Linked DNA regions of Mus musculus. The protein of the gene in region 2 interacts with the protein of the main gene of each other region in a biochemical or structural test. Links are inferred from orthologs where the notes say so. Each region holds a gene or a part of one and is shown on either strand. Other genes may lie near its edges.

Region 1 (6,746 bases), on a different chromosome or scaffold from region 2:
GCAGTGGTGGCATATGCCTTTAATCCCAGTACTTGGGAGGCAGAGGCAGGTGGATCTCTGAGTTCAAGGCCAGCCTGGTCTACAGAGTGAGTTCCAGGACAGCCAGGGCTATACAGAGAAAACCTGTCTCGAACCCCCCCCCCTCAAAAAATCACCAAAATACTATCTTTTAAAATCTATTTACCAGATAGTGGTGCTGCATGTCTTTAATCCCAGCACTCAGGAGGCAGAGGCAGGCGGATCTGAATTTGAGACCAGTCTAATCTATATACACAGTGACTTCTAGGATAGCCAGAGCTACAAAGTGAAACCCTGTCTTAGAAGAAAATGAAAAAGAGAAAAGAAAAATACAGGAAGGAAGGAAGGAAGGAAGGGAGGGAGGGAGGGAGGGAGGGAGGGAGGGAGTTAAAGCTATTCAATTTGTCCAATGGCTCATCAAATGTTCATTTAAATATATTCTAAGAATCACAAATGTACACATGCACATATTCTTTATCACACAGAACCCCCCACGGACAACTACTAATCCTTAAATTGTTTAGTTACTCTTGAATTGAAGGAGTCTAGTTATATAGCAAGTTATCTACAGGCTCTCTCTCTCTCAAGTTATCTACAGGATCTCTCTCTCTAGCTCTACAGGATCTCTCTCTCTAGCTCTACAGGATCTCTCTGTGTGTGTGTGTCTGTCTGTCTGTCTGTCTTTCTAAGACAAGCTTTTTCTATTATGTGGCTCTGGCTATCCTAAGCCCTGAAGTTCACTATTTAGACTGACTGGCCTAGAACTCAGAGAGATCCACCTGCCTCTGACTCCCAAGTGCTGAGATTATAGGTGGCTTCAACAAGATATCTTTTTCTTTTTTTTTACGAGACAGGGTTTCTCTGTGTATCCCTGACCGTCCTGGAACTCACTTGGTAGACCAGGCTGGCCTCAAACTCAGAAATCCGCCTGCCTCTGCCTCCCGAGTGCTGGGATTAAAGGCGTGCGCCACCACTGCTTGGCAGGATATCGGCAGGATATCTTTTTCTTATATGAACACATCCCATACAGATATTCCTACAAATAACTGAGCACACTATAGGCAAGCTTCTAAAGCCCCTGAATGCTTCCGCCTCATGAAGTAACTGCATACACAAGTCACTCTGTTCTCAAATGCTATCTACTCACAAGCAGTGGAAATAAATGAATAAAATTAAATAAAGAAAACTAAAATTGGATGTTTCTCTCCTATTGCATCAATCTTAATCTATTATTGCAGATCAGAACCAATTTTTGAAATTTTAAATAAAGTCTTGATATGCCAGAAAATGTACTGCTCAGGCATATGGAAGGTGATTATTTGTGTATCTTCAGCTCCTAGCTAGCAACCAGTGGATGCTTAAAACATCCCTGCTACAACTCTTGAAACTTACTAGCCAAAGCAGAGTAGCCTCTGACACATCTGACAGTCACTGCATCCCACCCAAAAGCCTTTCTCCTCATTCTTACACTACAGAGCTATTTAAATGAGAATAAGACAATGCACACTACTCAACAAGTTCATGTTAAAATCTGATTTAAATTATACTAACAAATTATTTCTTAGATTTCCTTCTGAATTATAAATTCTAAAGGGGGAGGACAAGAGTTACAATCTGAGTAGTGGCATAACAGTAAAGAACTTCCTTAGGCCCAGTAGTCAGTTTTTCAGCAGCAAAGCTCACATAAAGATGTAAGTTTCCACCTTTCCCAAGTATCTTCCTATTGCCCTAGGCATCTTATCCTATCTTTGAATACTGCCCACAGTAACTGTTTAAAGAATCCAATGCTATTCTTAACATCCTTAAATACTTCTAAAAAGGTCCTTCCTGCTTATGAACTCATGGCCGTTTCCTCACAATTGTATACTTATCCTGTCCCACTGTCTCAGTCTCCGCCAAACAGATGTACACAGCACAGTCTTTCCTATTTTGCTACACTGCTAAACCCAAACAGAAGACAAAAAAAAAAAAGATACAAACCTGCTGCTTTCCCCGCCCCCCAACAGCAACAGTGAAACCAGAAGCCAACAAGATAAAGGGAGACAGAAGGCAACATGTATATCACTTCCCTGCTGTGTGTGGCAAGCTAGTGACTCTTTACAAGCACAGATTCACAGTATGTCCACTGAAACAGTGTTATTTTTCAATAGAAATCTGACATTTGGCACAGGGTAGGGTTTATAACACTATAAAATAAGCTATTAATTTGATTTCTGCTGACTTACTATTCTTGTTTATCTCTGCTCTTAAAGAAGAAAATCAACTTTCTGTAGAAGAGTTGGTCCAGAATATGGAATATTTAAATTTGAGGGAAAATGGTTTGCCACAAGTTTGTTGGTAAGATAAACTAAGACGCACTGTATTCAAAATTCGTGTTACTATTTTTGAAATAATAGTTCATCTCCAGCTGTAAACTAAAAATGGTTTTTCATTTTACTTCCAAAGCGTCTGAGTCACTTAACACTCTTCTAAACTTCGCTACAGATTCGTCCAGTGGCCGTCAACGTAAAAAGCCTGGAAGCTAGAGAGCAGATCACTCTACAGTCTTAAGACAATGGTATAAACCTTGGAGTGGGCTATTTGTTCCGGTCATTAAACACACAGGAAATAAGCTTTTCTGGTTAGAAAACTAATTTACAAAGGGCAATACGACTTCACAAGAGTACAGAAAATCTTATTAAGATAGATAACGACCAACTCATCCAAGCAAGTATTAGAAAGAACGGGAAGGCGAACTAGAAAACGAAATGCCATAAACTACCTGGTATCTGTTCCTTAAACCTGTCCTCGGGACTCGGTCCCAGACAACATCAGTTTCTGAATTTACTCGGCCCTCGGTGGAGCCTCAGCTTGGGTGTCGAGCAGAACGAGGATTCTACCAAAAGCGGAGCACCGCGAACAGCAGCAGGGCGCTTTCAACCTGACACCACTTTCTCCCCGGACACTCTCCCGGGAGGGTCAATAGAAAGCATCCGAAAGGAACCAGAAGCCGAGCAGGGCAGCCCTCTTCCAAGTCCCGAACCCAGAGTTCAGGCGCCTCTCGGGTCCCACCCGCCTGACCTTGGCCAGGGCACTCCCAACCCTGCCACTCTCTCGGTCCGCACACGCGGGGAAGCCGGGCTGTGCGGGAGCGAGCGGCGCGGATGGGGCGGACACGGCCCTGGAGGCGCGCCGCTCCGACAGGCGTCGCCACCGGGATCCCCGACAGGGGCCGAGCCACGGCGACGGCAGCGAGGACACCAGGGGCTGTGGGCCTTGGCGGGGACCCGCAGGGCTGGCGTCGGGCGCAGAGGAACCCGCGCACAGGTGAGTCCGGCCTCGCCCAGGTGCGCGCGCCCGCGGACGCGCGAGGAGGCGCGGCCCCGCGCCCCCCTCAGCAGCCGGTGGCCGCCTCAGCCTTGCCTTCCTCGCCCCGCTTTCCCCTTCCACACACGCACACCCGAGCTGCACACCTCATGCCCCACTTTACCGCGGCCTCCGCCCGGAGCACCCGCGCCACCGCGGTCCCGGCTCCTTCAGGCACCCAGCTGCCGGGAGCGGCGCCCACGACGGCCCGCCCGCGCACTGCGCACGCGTGCACGCGCTGCCTCTACCAGACCAGACAGCGACTGAGATTCCGGAGCGGGCACTCCCTACCGCGAACACTACAAGTCCCGACAGGCTCCGCGCACGCCCGGCGGCGTGGCGGGCAAAGGAATCGGGCGTCTTCCTAGTTCCAGGGTGGTGGCTCGCGGCCGCGCGCGGGGCGCTGGGTTCCCCATGCCGCGCTGCATCCTGGGGCTTGCAGTTTTTGAGGACCACGAGGCTCGGCTTAGGACGTGGAACTAGAGGTTCTCTGATGTCATCACCTAGAGCTGCGAGGCACAGGGATCTTTAAAAATAGGTTTGGTTCCTTTGCAGATAATTTGCAAGCTGTCCCATAGTGGGTACAAGAAACATAAAATTCACTGGTTGTGCACCAGTTTTTTGCTCCTAACCATTTCTTTCTCAAAATGCAATTTCACCTCATCCTTAAAATAGTGGTATTAATGCAAGAGGCCAAGGAAATTTAAAAGGATTGCTCAAAACTCTTTCAAGGAGATATTTTAAAATATTCAGCCTATTTGTTGAGCAACCTCAGTGTATGAAGTCCCTGCCCTCGTGGAGCCTGTGTTTCATAAGGGGAGCTAGCCCTTTACAAAATACAATCCTTATACATTTTAATAAGTGGAAGAAAAGAATGAGCTTCAGAGATAGAGATAGGGAGGCAGGCTTCAGAGAGGATGTCCTGTCCAGCAGCATTCTCTAAGGAAGAGATATTTCAGCTGAAACCTGAAGAAGGTGAGATATTTAAACATGCAAAAGAACTGGGAGAGAATTACATACCCCACTTTTCCCAGTGAGTGACACACACTGAGGCTCTCAATAAACGTTTGGGGGTTTGTATCCTGCACAGCTGGGGATCATGCCCTCTCACTTGAGAGTGTTTTATCAACCTTTCTCATGACAAGGTTCCTCTGTCGTGTACGTGGGACAACTAGGCTATGCTAGATGAGAGACTGGAGGGGTAGAACTGGCAAACTGCCCGTGCTGACTCTCCACCTCAAATCTCCAACATCGAAGACGATCAGCACCTTACCTTCTTAGAAATCTCAGCTACACAGCCTTGCTGAGGGCCATCTGGCTCTTCTTCAGGTGGGAGCAAGAAGACTCCTTTCCTTATCTACAGACTGGTTGAAAGAGTCCATAGAGTTGCCAGCGCAGCCCTTTCATTTGGCCCATGCACTGGGCTTTTGCTGATTTAACTGAATGTATAGATGAAGTTTTAAAAAAAGTTTTCACATAAAAATCCAAATGTCACCTGATTTTCTCAGGTTTTTTGAGCTAACTTTCCTTGGCTTGAAGATCTGAAAGAAATTCCTGGCTTTTCAGCCCTTGGAGCCCTAGGAGATTCCATTGGGAGTGATTAGAATGTACATAACGAATTGGCTGTTTGCAAATCTGTAACAGAGAAAAGCAATTAAGTTAGGATGGGCTTATTCTGGCTCACAGGTTGAGGGTCTGCATGGTTCATCCTGGTAGGGTAGGTACGGTAACAGAAGAATGAGGGTCAGTCAGAGCGCATCTGGCCCGTATTCAGGACGGGTCTTATCTCCTCAGGTAAACTCTGGAAATTCCCTCACAGACATGCCCTGAGTTCTTTCCTCCCTCTCCCTCTCCCTCTCTTCCCCCTCCCCTCACCCACCCCCCACATCAAGTTAGCAATTAAGTTCAACCAACACAATCTAAAAGTCAAATTCAAGTTCAGTGTCTTTTCGTGATGGGAAATCCCTAACCCTGAAGCCGTGAGCCTCTCTATCAACCCCCTCTGCGTTGGACGAGAGAGCCATTCTCCTGATTGTCGTTACCATTTGACTAAGCAGTGTGCAATCACATAATGAATCCTAAAGCTTATTTGGCACTGAGAGTTAAATGTATGCACAGTGACAGAAACCAGAGAAGGGATTCAATTTGCCCAATGACACACAGCCGAAGTATTCTCCGGGCTACTTTGAGGTTGGGGTCCAGCCAAAACTTGAGAATTCCTGATGTGCCTTTAAGTTCAGAGGCTGAAAGAAGGGTAGGTATAGAAGATAAAAGGCTCTCTGCTCTTCCTCTGCCCTACCCCCCTTTCTTCAGTTCATTATATAACATAAGTACTTTCGCTGTTACTTAAGAAAAAAGTGTAAGCATGTGAGATATTCCTATGCTGAGATTAAGTCTGACAGCAAACCAAATGAAAGAGGACGGAGTGAAAGAGCAGAGGCACGCTAGAATACTTCCCAGAGCCAGTCTGGACCGAAGGCTTTGTAAACTTCAAAGTACCTTTGAAGCATCGCTGCCCCGTCATCACCATACTTCACACGGATGAAGTACTTGGGTGTTTTATTCTAAATACTCCTTGGTTTCTTTCTACACACTTAACAGCAAGATACCAGCCCCTCTGATAGAGCCAAGCAGACCGGGGTACACAAGCCAGGAGACTAGTCCAAACGCATCTGGTGCTACTGGGTGTCATTTTCCTCCCCGCCCCCCTCTCATTTTTACTTTTGTTTTTAGTTTTTGAGACAGGGTTTCTCTGTGTAGCAGAACTCACTCTGTAGACTTTGCTGCTCTCGAACTCACAGACATCTGCCTGCCTCCACCTCCCAACTGTCATTTTCCTCTTTGATACGGTCTCTGACTTCCCTTCCCCAGGAACACCCTGAACCTTTGTGCCTTACTTTTTCTCCTTTGCAGCACTCACATATTATTTACACAAATCTGAGCAGAACATCACCCACATATCTGATTGGTCTTATTTTCCTTCTGTCCCGCTAGAATAGAAGACCGACCCTGACAATGTTTAATCTAATGTTTAATTCACACCTATTCTCTCTCTTGAATAGAAATGTCTGCTGAACATCACAGGCCTCCTTCCTTGCTCAGTCAGACTCAAAAGACAAACCGCAGGAACAGTTCCTGAGGTAAATCCCTGTCTAGCCAGACGTCAGTCAGAACCAAGGTGAAACAAGGATTAAACGTGAACAGAACTCTTTCTGAACCCAGTGCTGTCTTGTTTTCCCTTCAGAGTTAAAACAAAACAACAACAACAACAACAACAACAACAACAACAACAAAGCCAGCTCTTTTCTACTGTTTGGTGTAAACGTGAACTAGAGCCAAGAGAGAATCAGAGCTTTGCCTCTGTAGCTGCATTGGAGAAGCTG
Region 2 (6,646 bases):
TGGTAGCCAATAGATTTAAAGGTCAATATGTTTAGCCAATAAGTTTGAACTGTAACCTTGCTGATGTAACCTGTGCTCCTAAAAAGAATAAAAACTGCTTGTAATAGCCATTTGGGGGTCCCCTTCTTAGTAACTCATCTTGAGGAACTAATTGAAGGTCGACCCTGTTGTGCTGGAAAATAAACCTCTTGCTTTTGCGTCGATCTTGGTATCTCATTCAGGGGCATCTTGAAGTAAGTACCACTGATTGAGTGTCTGGGTCCTACACTTGAAGAGAGTGGGGGGAGAGAGAGAGAGGAGAGATATTGGTACATATGTGTGTATTGGTATGGTGCATACATGTATGGATGTGTGTGTGTGTGTGTGTGCCTGTGTACATGGGAGTATGGTGTTGGTATGTTTATATGTGTTGATGTTTTTAAAAGTATTAGGTCTAGAATCACAGATGTATAACTTTGTGGTCCAGATTGTGGTATAGACAAGACAATTTTACATTTTCAGAGATTATGAATTTAGTAGAATTTTTTATGGCATGTGATTTAAAACTGTAAAAATTTCCACCAAATGCAATCGTTGACATCTCCTTTGTTGTCAAATATTTTTCTCCAAAATGTAAACAGCAATGTCAAAAACTACAAGAAAAAAGTGTCATTAGTGTGAAGAAACACTCAGCACTCTTAAATCTCTTGTCTTCCAGGAAAGAACGGTGACCATCAGAAGACAGACAGTAGGAGGATTCGGATTAAGCATAAAGGTAGTCACCTTCTAGTCTGTCTTTTCAAAGACTGCCCTGTAAAGGCTAACTTTTGTATACTTTGTTGTTGGTACTCATGACTAAAAATGAATGGTTTTGTGATGTGTAGAGTGGGTTGTAATCTGGGATGTTCTTACAGAACCTGATATCCATTATCTTCTCATTTAGATTTACAGGAAAAGACTGGGATCACACCTAGTGTTAAGTAAAACTTGGTAGTTTCCTTCCTTCCTTCCTTCCTTCCTTCCTTCCTTCCTTCCTTCCTTCCTTCCTTCCTTCCTTCCTTCCTTCTTTCATTTCTTCCTTTTTTTTAAGGATTAATTTAATTTATGTATGTGAGTAAATTATGTATGTGAAAACACTGTCACTGTTTTCAGACACACCGGAAGTGGGCAACTGATCCCATTGCAGACAGTTGTGAGCCACCAGGTTGTTTCTGGGTCCTCTGAAAGAGCAGTCAGTGCTCTTAACTGTTGAGCCATCTCTCTAGCCCTTGGAAGCTTTCTTTATGTGGCTTCCCATAAAGATGAAATATGCTGGTGGCAAGCATTTTTTCCTTCTTCTCCATTACAGAAGATTGATGGATAGAGTCAGGCAGATCTCATATGGAGGGTTCCTGGAGACATGGGGAGTAGAGATCTATCATAATTATCTTTTTGCTTGATTTTCACTTTGTTAAAAAGATTCATAAACATCACTTATCAGTTCCAAGTTTTGATTATTATGATACTTAAGAGCTTTTTAATCTGTACGGTGTTAGATGGTAAAGATGTATCACTCATTAAAATGATTGATAAAATTGAGAGAATTCAATTGTATGTGAATAATTAAGACTCAATCAAAGAACTTTAATTCTTTCGATCAAGCTGACTTTCTGAACACCTAAATGAAGGCTGTTATTTATAATAATTCTTCAGTTTGTATATACTTACTAAATCTTTGTTTCAGATTTAAAGAAATTTTATCCAGTTGCTGTTTTCTATGTCAGGAATAGGGTATTTTGAAATTTTGCCTATCACCTCTTGTCAGTTTTGTCAAAATGACTTAATACATTGACCATGTGTAGTAATAAGAATTTCAATGTTCAAAATGTGAGTGTTAAAACATACTTTATATATACTTGCTATCATCTCAGGCAAAGAACTGATGCAGAATAAATTATAGGATATGTAAATTAGGCTATGGAAACATATTTTTTTCCCAAACAACCCCTTGTTGTTTGCTCCAGTTATAATCAATGTTGCCACATAGTAGAGGCATAGTGAGACCTGCTAAAGGAAACTTAATGACTTAGCTAAGGATAGCAGAAAACTGCTGTGGTGCCCATTGTACACTGAGTGTACAAATTATTGATTAGACCTTCCTTCATAATTCCCAGAGCATGCTGCGTGCAGACAACTCTTAGGTCTCCCAGGTGTGGGCCCCTCTGTGCAGTGTTTGGATGAATCCTCAGACCTTGCTGCTATGGTTCTCACTGTGTATTGCATATGCAGATATTCCTTCAGCTCACCATTTTGCATTTTGTTTGAAATTCAATAGCAAGCAATGCCAATAAGATGTGATTGTCAGATTTTTTCCCAACACTTTATTTACCAATGCACGTTAGACAGGACTGGAACTTCAAATATAGGTTAAATTGTGGGTCCTGAATTAGGACCATGCCAGTTTATGACACTGCCTCTTTCTGTATTTGATGAAGGTTGGGGTAAATGGACATAGAGCTCCTTAGTAAGATATATTAAGTTTAAAAAAATAAGCTGATTAGTGGTTTTGAAAATCAACTTAAATAACATTATAGTTTTATTGTTTTACTTTTATTACCTCAGTAGTAAAAACAAAATAAATAAAAGTTTAAAAAATATAATTGAACACTAATGATTTTTTATAAGTGATTTTCTGTAACATATCTAATTCTTTTTAGTGTTGCAAATGGATGCTCATGGGTGAATGTATCTTAAGATCCTGTATTTATGCTTATGGGCAGCTTCAGGAGTTATTTACTGTAAACGTAGAACAGCACCAGTGCCTTTAGACGGCTCCTTCAGCCCCTGTGCTGAACATGTGCATGTTTTCTTTATACAACACTTCAGCTGTTCATGTATGCATGTGGCTTTTAGCTACCATATCAAACTTCTTATACTGTAATGGCAAGACGACAGGCTTCTTCTGGCAGTTACTCTAAGAATTGTTTTTATTTTATTTTATCAGAACTTTGATTCATTCTTCTTCTTTCATTCCATTTAAATTTGAGCCAGTACCTGAGTGTGGCTATAGAGTTCTTGGTTTTGTGTTTTGTACTGACAATTGTTTAATCTATGCTTTCACACATGGGAATCTAATTCTAATTAGGACACACAGATGGTTCTGTTCCCTTGGTACTCAGAATTTATTTATCTACTTGTGCTAGTAAAGAGCCTCTCTGGCTACTTAGCATTCAGAATGTAGCCTGAAAGAGTGCCTGCTAGGCAGGAGAAAATAAAGTAATCAGAGAATTGATATGTATAAATATCTGATGTTTAGAATCCTGAGTAACAACTGTCAAGATGTCTTGCATTCCTATACAGGACTTTGAAGAGAATGCCACTACTGACGTTAATCAATCTTATTTGAGAAATAAATTTTTTTAGTCAACTTTTATTAATTAGCAAGTGTTATCAGAGTACGTAAACTTTATGGAAATGCTGCCACTTAAAAAGTCCTACGCATTTGTTTTAATGCTCTCTGGTGTTCGCTTGATGCACTATTTATAGCTTGCTGTTTGGTTTTTTTTTTTTTTATTGTTTTGGCTAAAAGTGGAAATTTGAAGAGCTTAAATACATGACACATAACTGTCTCTTTCTAGGGAGGTGCAGAACATAACATCCCGGTTGTCATTTCCAAAATATCTAAGGAGCAAAGAGGTAATGTATTTATCTAACCTTTTAGTGGCCAGTCTGCTATAAGTCTTGTCCACAGATAATTCAGTGAGTGGTATACGAATGTCTTCCCTGGATTCCCAGCCTCAGGAGTGGAGAGGCTAAATCCGATTCTCCAGATCTTCTGGATCCCCCTACAGGACAGAAAGGGAAAATTGATAGACTCTATGTAACAGTCCAAATGATCATATAAAAACTGAGGAGTTCACAGCTTCTGAACTGTTCATTAAAGACACAAAAATTAAGTCACATTTCATGGAGTAATTTAGATATAATCGTTTTTCTCAATTTTAGTTAATTCCTGTGAAGGTTCATCAATGATGAATATACAAATCAAGTTTTCACTGACAATCAGGAAAACAACATACTATTTCTCAGTAAGTGTGAAACTGACAGATATCAAGTCTATATCTCAGGTATTTGCACAGAGATATAATAAATACATAAAGAAATTGATCACCCATTAAGAAGAGTGATCAATTTTCAATGAATGCACATACATACCTTCAGACATAAACACACATATATGTATATACACACATATATGTATATATGTATATATGTACGTCATATACATACACACACACACACACACACATATATATATATATATATATACATATATATATATATATATACATACATATATACATATATCTTTGAGAATTGTGTACAACATGCTTTGGTCATATTAATATTCCTTCCCCCTCCACTCTTTCCAGACAGTATCTCTTGAGAAGTTTACCATGGTCCAGGTGAAAGCCACACATCCAAGAATATTTGGGCAGCATAGATTGGCATTGCTGCAAAAGAAAACTCACAAAGCAGGGAGGGTAGTGACCATGTTATAAGGACTATAAAGGAAGAACTGTTAGACCGAAGGGAAATGTCTGCCTATTTTAGCAACTGAAAAGAACTAAATCATATTATTGAGTTTCTACTCTTTGTGGACCCTACAAAATGCTAGCGATCTAAAATGTTCATACTTTGTTTACAATTTTACCCTTAATTAAAAGAAAAAAACCCCTTTGTTTATTTGAGAAATGCCAAGGTGTGTTCAATTATTCTCATTCACAGCAGAGCTGTCGGGGCTGCTTTTTATTGGAGATGCAATTCTACAGGTACGCATTTCATCATCATCTATGTGGATGCAAAGAAAAGCCAGTTTATAACACACTATGTGGAACTGAGCTTTGCCTTTCATTGCAGATAAATGGAATTAATGTGAGGAAATGCAGACATGAGGAGGTGGTGAGTTTACTTTTTTTTAAATGCTGTCATTTCTCAACTTCAAGTACAGCTTTGATGAATTGCTAAAACCACAATCTTGTTAATTATGAAGGTATAAAATTATATAGCATCTTAGTAATCTGTCAGAGACCTTACAATCCATTTTGGCTCTTAGAAATACAATTATATGTGCTGTCATAATGAAATGTATTTCAAGGCGAATTACTTAAAGTTTTCAAATACTTGAAAGTTTATGACAAAAGGAATTGATTTCTGTAAATTTTTAATAGCATTAGGGGCAAATAGAAATGCATATAAATGTGTGTGTGTGTGAGTGTGTGCGTGCACGTGCACACACAGTCGGATGTAAAGGAGAAGGGAATGACAGTAAAAGAAGAATTTACCAGCAATTTCACTGTGGCATTTTCTTGAATTCTTTTAGATGTGCAGACCAGATACAAACATTTTAACTCAGACAGCTGAGACATAGAAGTTGAGTTTTAGCAACCATTATAAGTGACTAAACTGTAAATGTCTTCTAGTCTATACTTAAATGGAAAGATTAAAGAACATCTATTGCAGATAATGAGCCTTGCAAAATTGAACAAGTGTTAGACATTTGGGAAAATATTGGTAAAATTGACTAAACATCATGGAGAAGTCACTAATTTTTTTTTTTGCTAGTTCCTATTGGAAAAGATAAAGAGAAGCTAAATTTAAGATACACTCAAAGATGAAAAAGAAGTTATTTTGATGTATTTATATATTTAAAATCTTAGAAAGAAAGCTGCAAGTGTCTTTGTGAAATTTCCATTTCACATATAGTGCTGTTTGCAGAGAGCTGGGCCTCATGGTCTGCTGTTATTGGCCAATGACTTTGTAGTTAGAAAAGCATATTCAGGTTATTCTCTTGGTACTATGTGTTGAAAATCCTGTACAATCCTTGGACTTCCTGTAAATCTTTGCAGAGCAAGGTTATATGTCAGGGGACAATTTGCAGCAGATGAGAGACCAGTACAATTCCTGTTTTGCAGATCTCAGCCACATAAGCAAGGGAACTTTATTTTCAGTCTTGCAACTCATTATCGAGAAAGAGAAAAATAAAGTGTGTTCTCTTTTCAAACCACATGCTGTTAGTTGAAATCACATTTGTGGTTTGTTCTTCAAAGGCACATAGCTTGCTTAGACCTACTTTGCTAGAGCTATGATTAAACAGATAAGCATAACATGAAGATTAATACTAATAGCCTAATGTAGGATGGTATATATTCTGATCCTAAGGGAAGTTATTAAACATTACTAATTACACATAGTTATTCATAACAAAGACATAGAGAAGCTTACTTTTATTGGCTTTGAAATATATGTACCTTTTTTTTTGGTAGTGGTGGGTTTTTTGGTTTGGTTTGGTTTTGTTTTGTTTTGTTTTGTTTTGTTTTTATTGCTGTTTGTTTTTGTTTTTGGAGAAAGTCTTTCTGCATAATCCTGGCTATCCTGAAACTTACCTTATAGATCAGGATGGGTTTGAACCCACAGAAATTTGCGTGCCTCTGCCTCCTGAATGCTGGATTAAAGGTGTACATCACAACATCCATCTACAGTCATGCTTTTATTTAACTCTAATTTATTTGACTCTAATCTTTGCATTTCAAAGGCAATTAGAAATTTTCCTTTTGTTTTAATGCCTTTGTGATTGTATACTACCTCAGAGAAACTGAGGCTTGTTGAAGAAGAAATGTATATGGGT

What was found. The genes of interacting proteins can lie anywhere in the genome.
Region 1: the proteins of Sntg1 (region 2) and Plekha1 form a complex in vitro, tested with the Homo sapiens proteins (2 studies listed by BioGRID and IntAct, with this or other methods). The link is inferred for Mus musculus from reciprocal best matches to the Homo sapiens genes SNTG1 and PLEKHA1.

The regions. Positions count from the first base shown.
Region 1 is NC_000073.6:130,862,725-130,869,470, reverse strand, and holds the start of Plekha1 (pleckstrin homology domain-containing family A member 1), read right to left. Parts: upstream 3,748-6,746; 5' UTR 3,488-3,747; exon of another isoform or gene 3,471-3,487; intron 3,405-3,470; exon of another isoform or gene 2,758-3,404; intron 1-2,757. UniProt on the Homo sapiens protein: Binds specifically to phosphatidylinositol 3,4-diphosphate (PtdIns3,4P2), but not to other phosphoinositides. May recruit other proteins to the plasma membrane.
Region 2 is NC_000067.6:8,676,081-8,682,726, reverse strand, and holds part of Sntg1 (gamma-1-syntrophin), read left to right. Parts: intron 1-697; coding exon 698-754; intron 755-3,596; coding exon 3,597-3,654; intron 3,655-4,746; coding exon 4,747-4,790; intron 4,791-4,878; coding exon 4,879-4,920; intron 4,921-6,646. UniProt on the Homo sapiens protein: Adapter protein that binds to and probably organizes the subcellular localization of a variety of proteins. May link various receptors to the actin cytoskeleton and the dystrophin glycoprotein complex.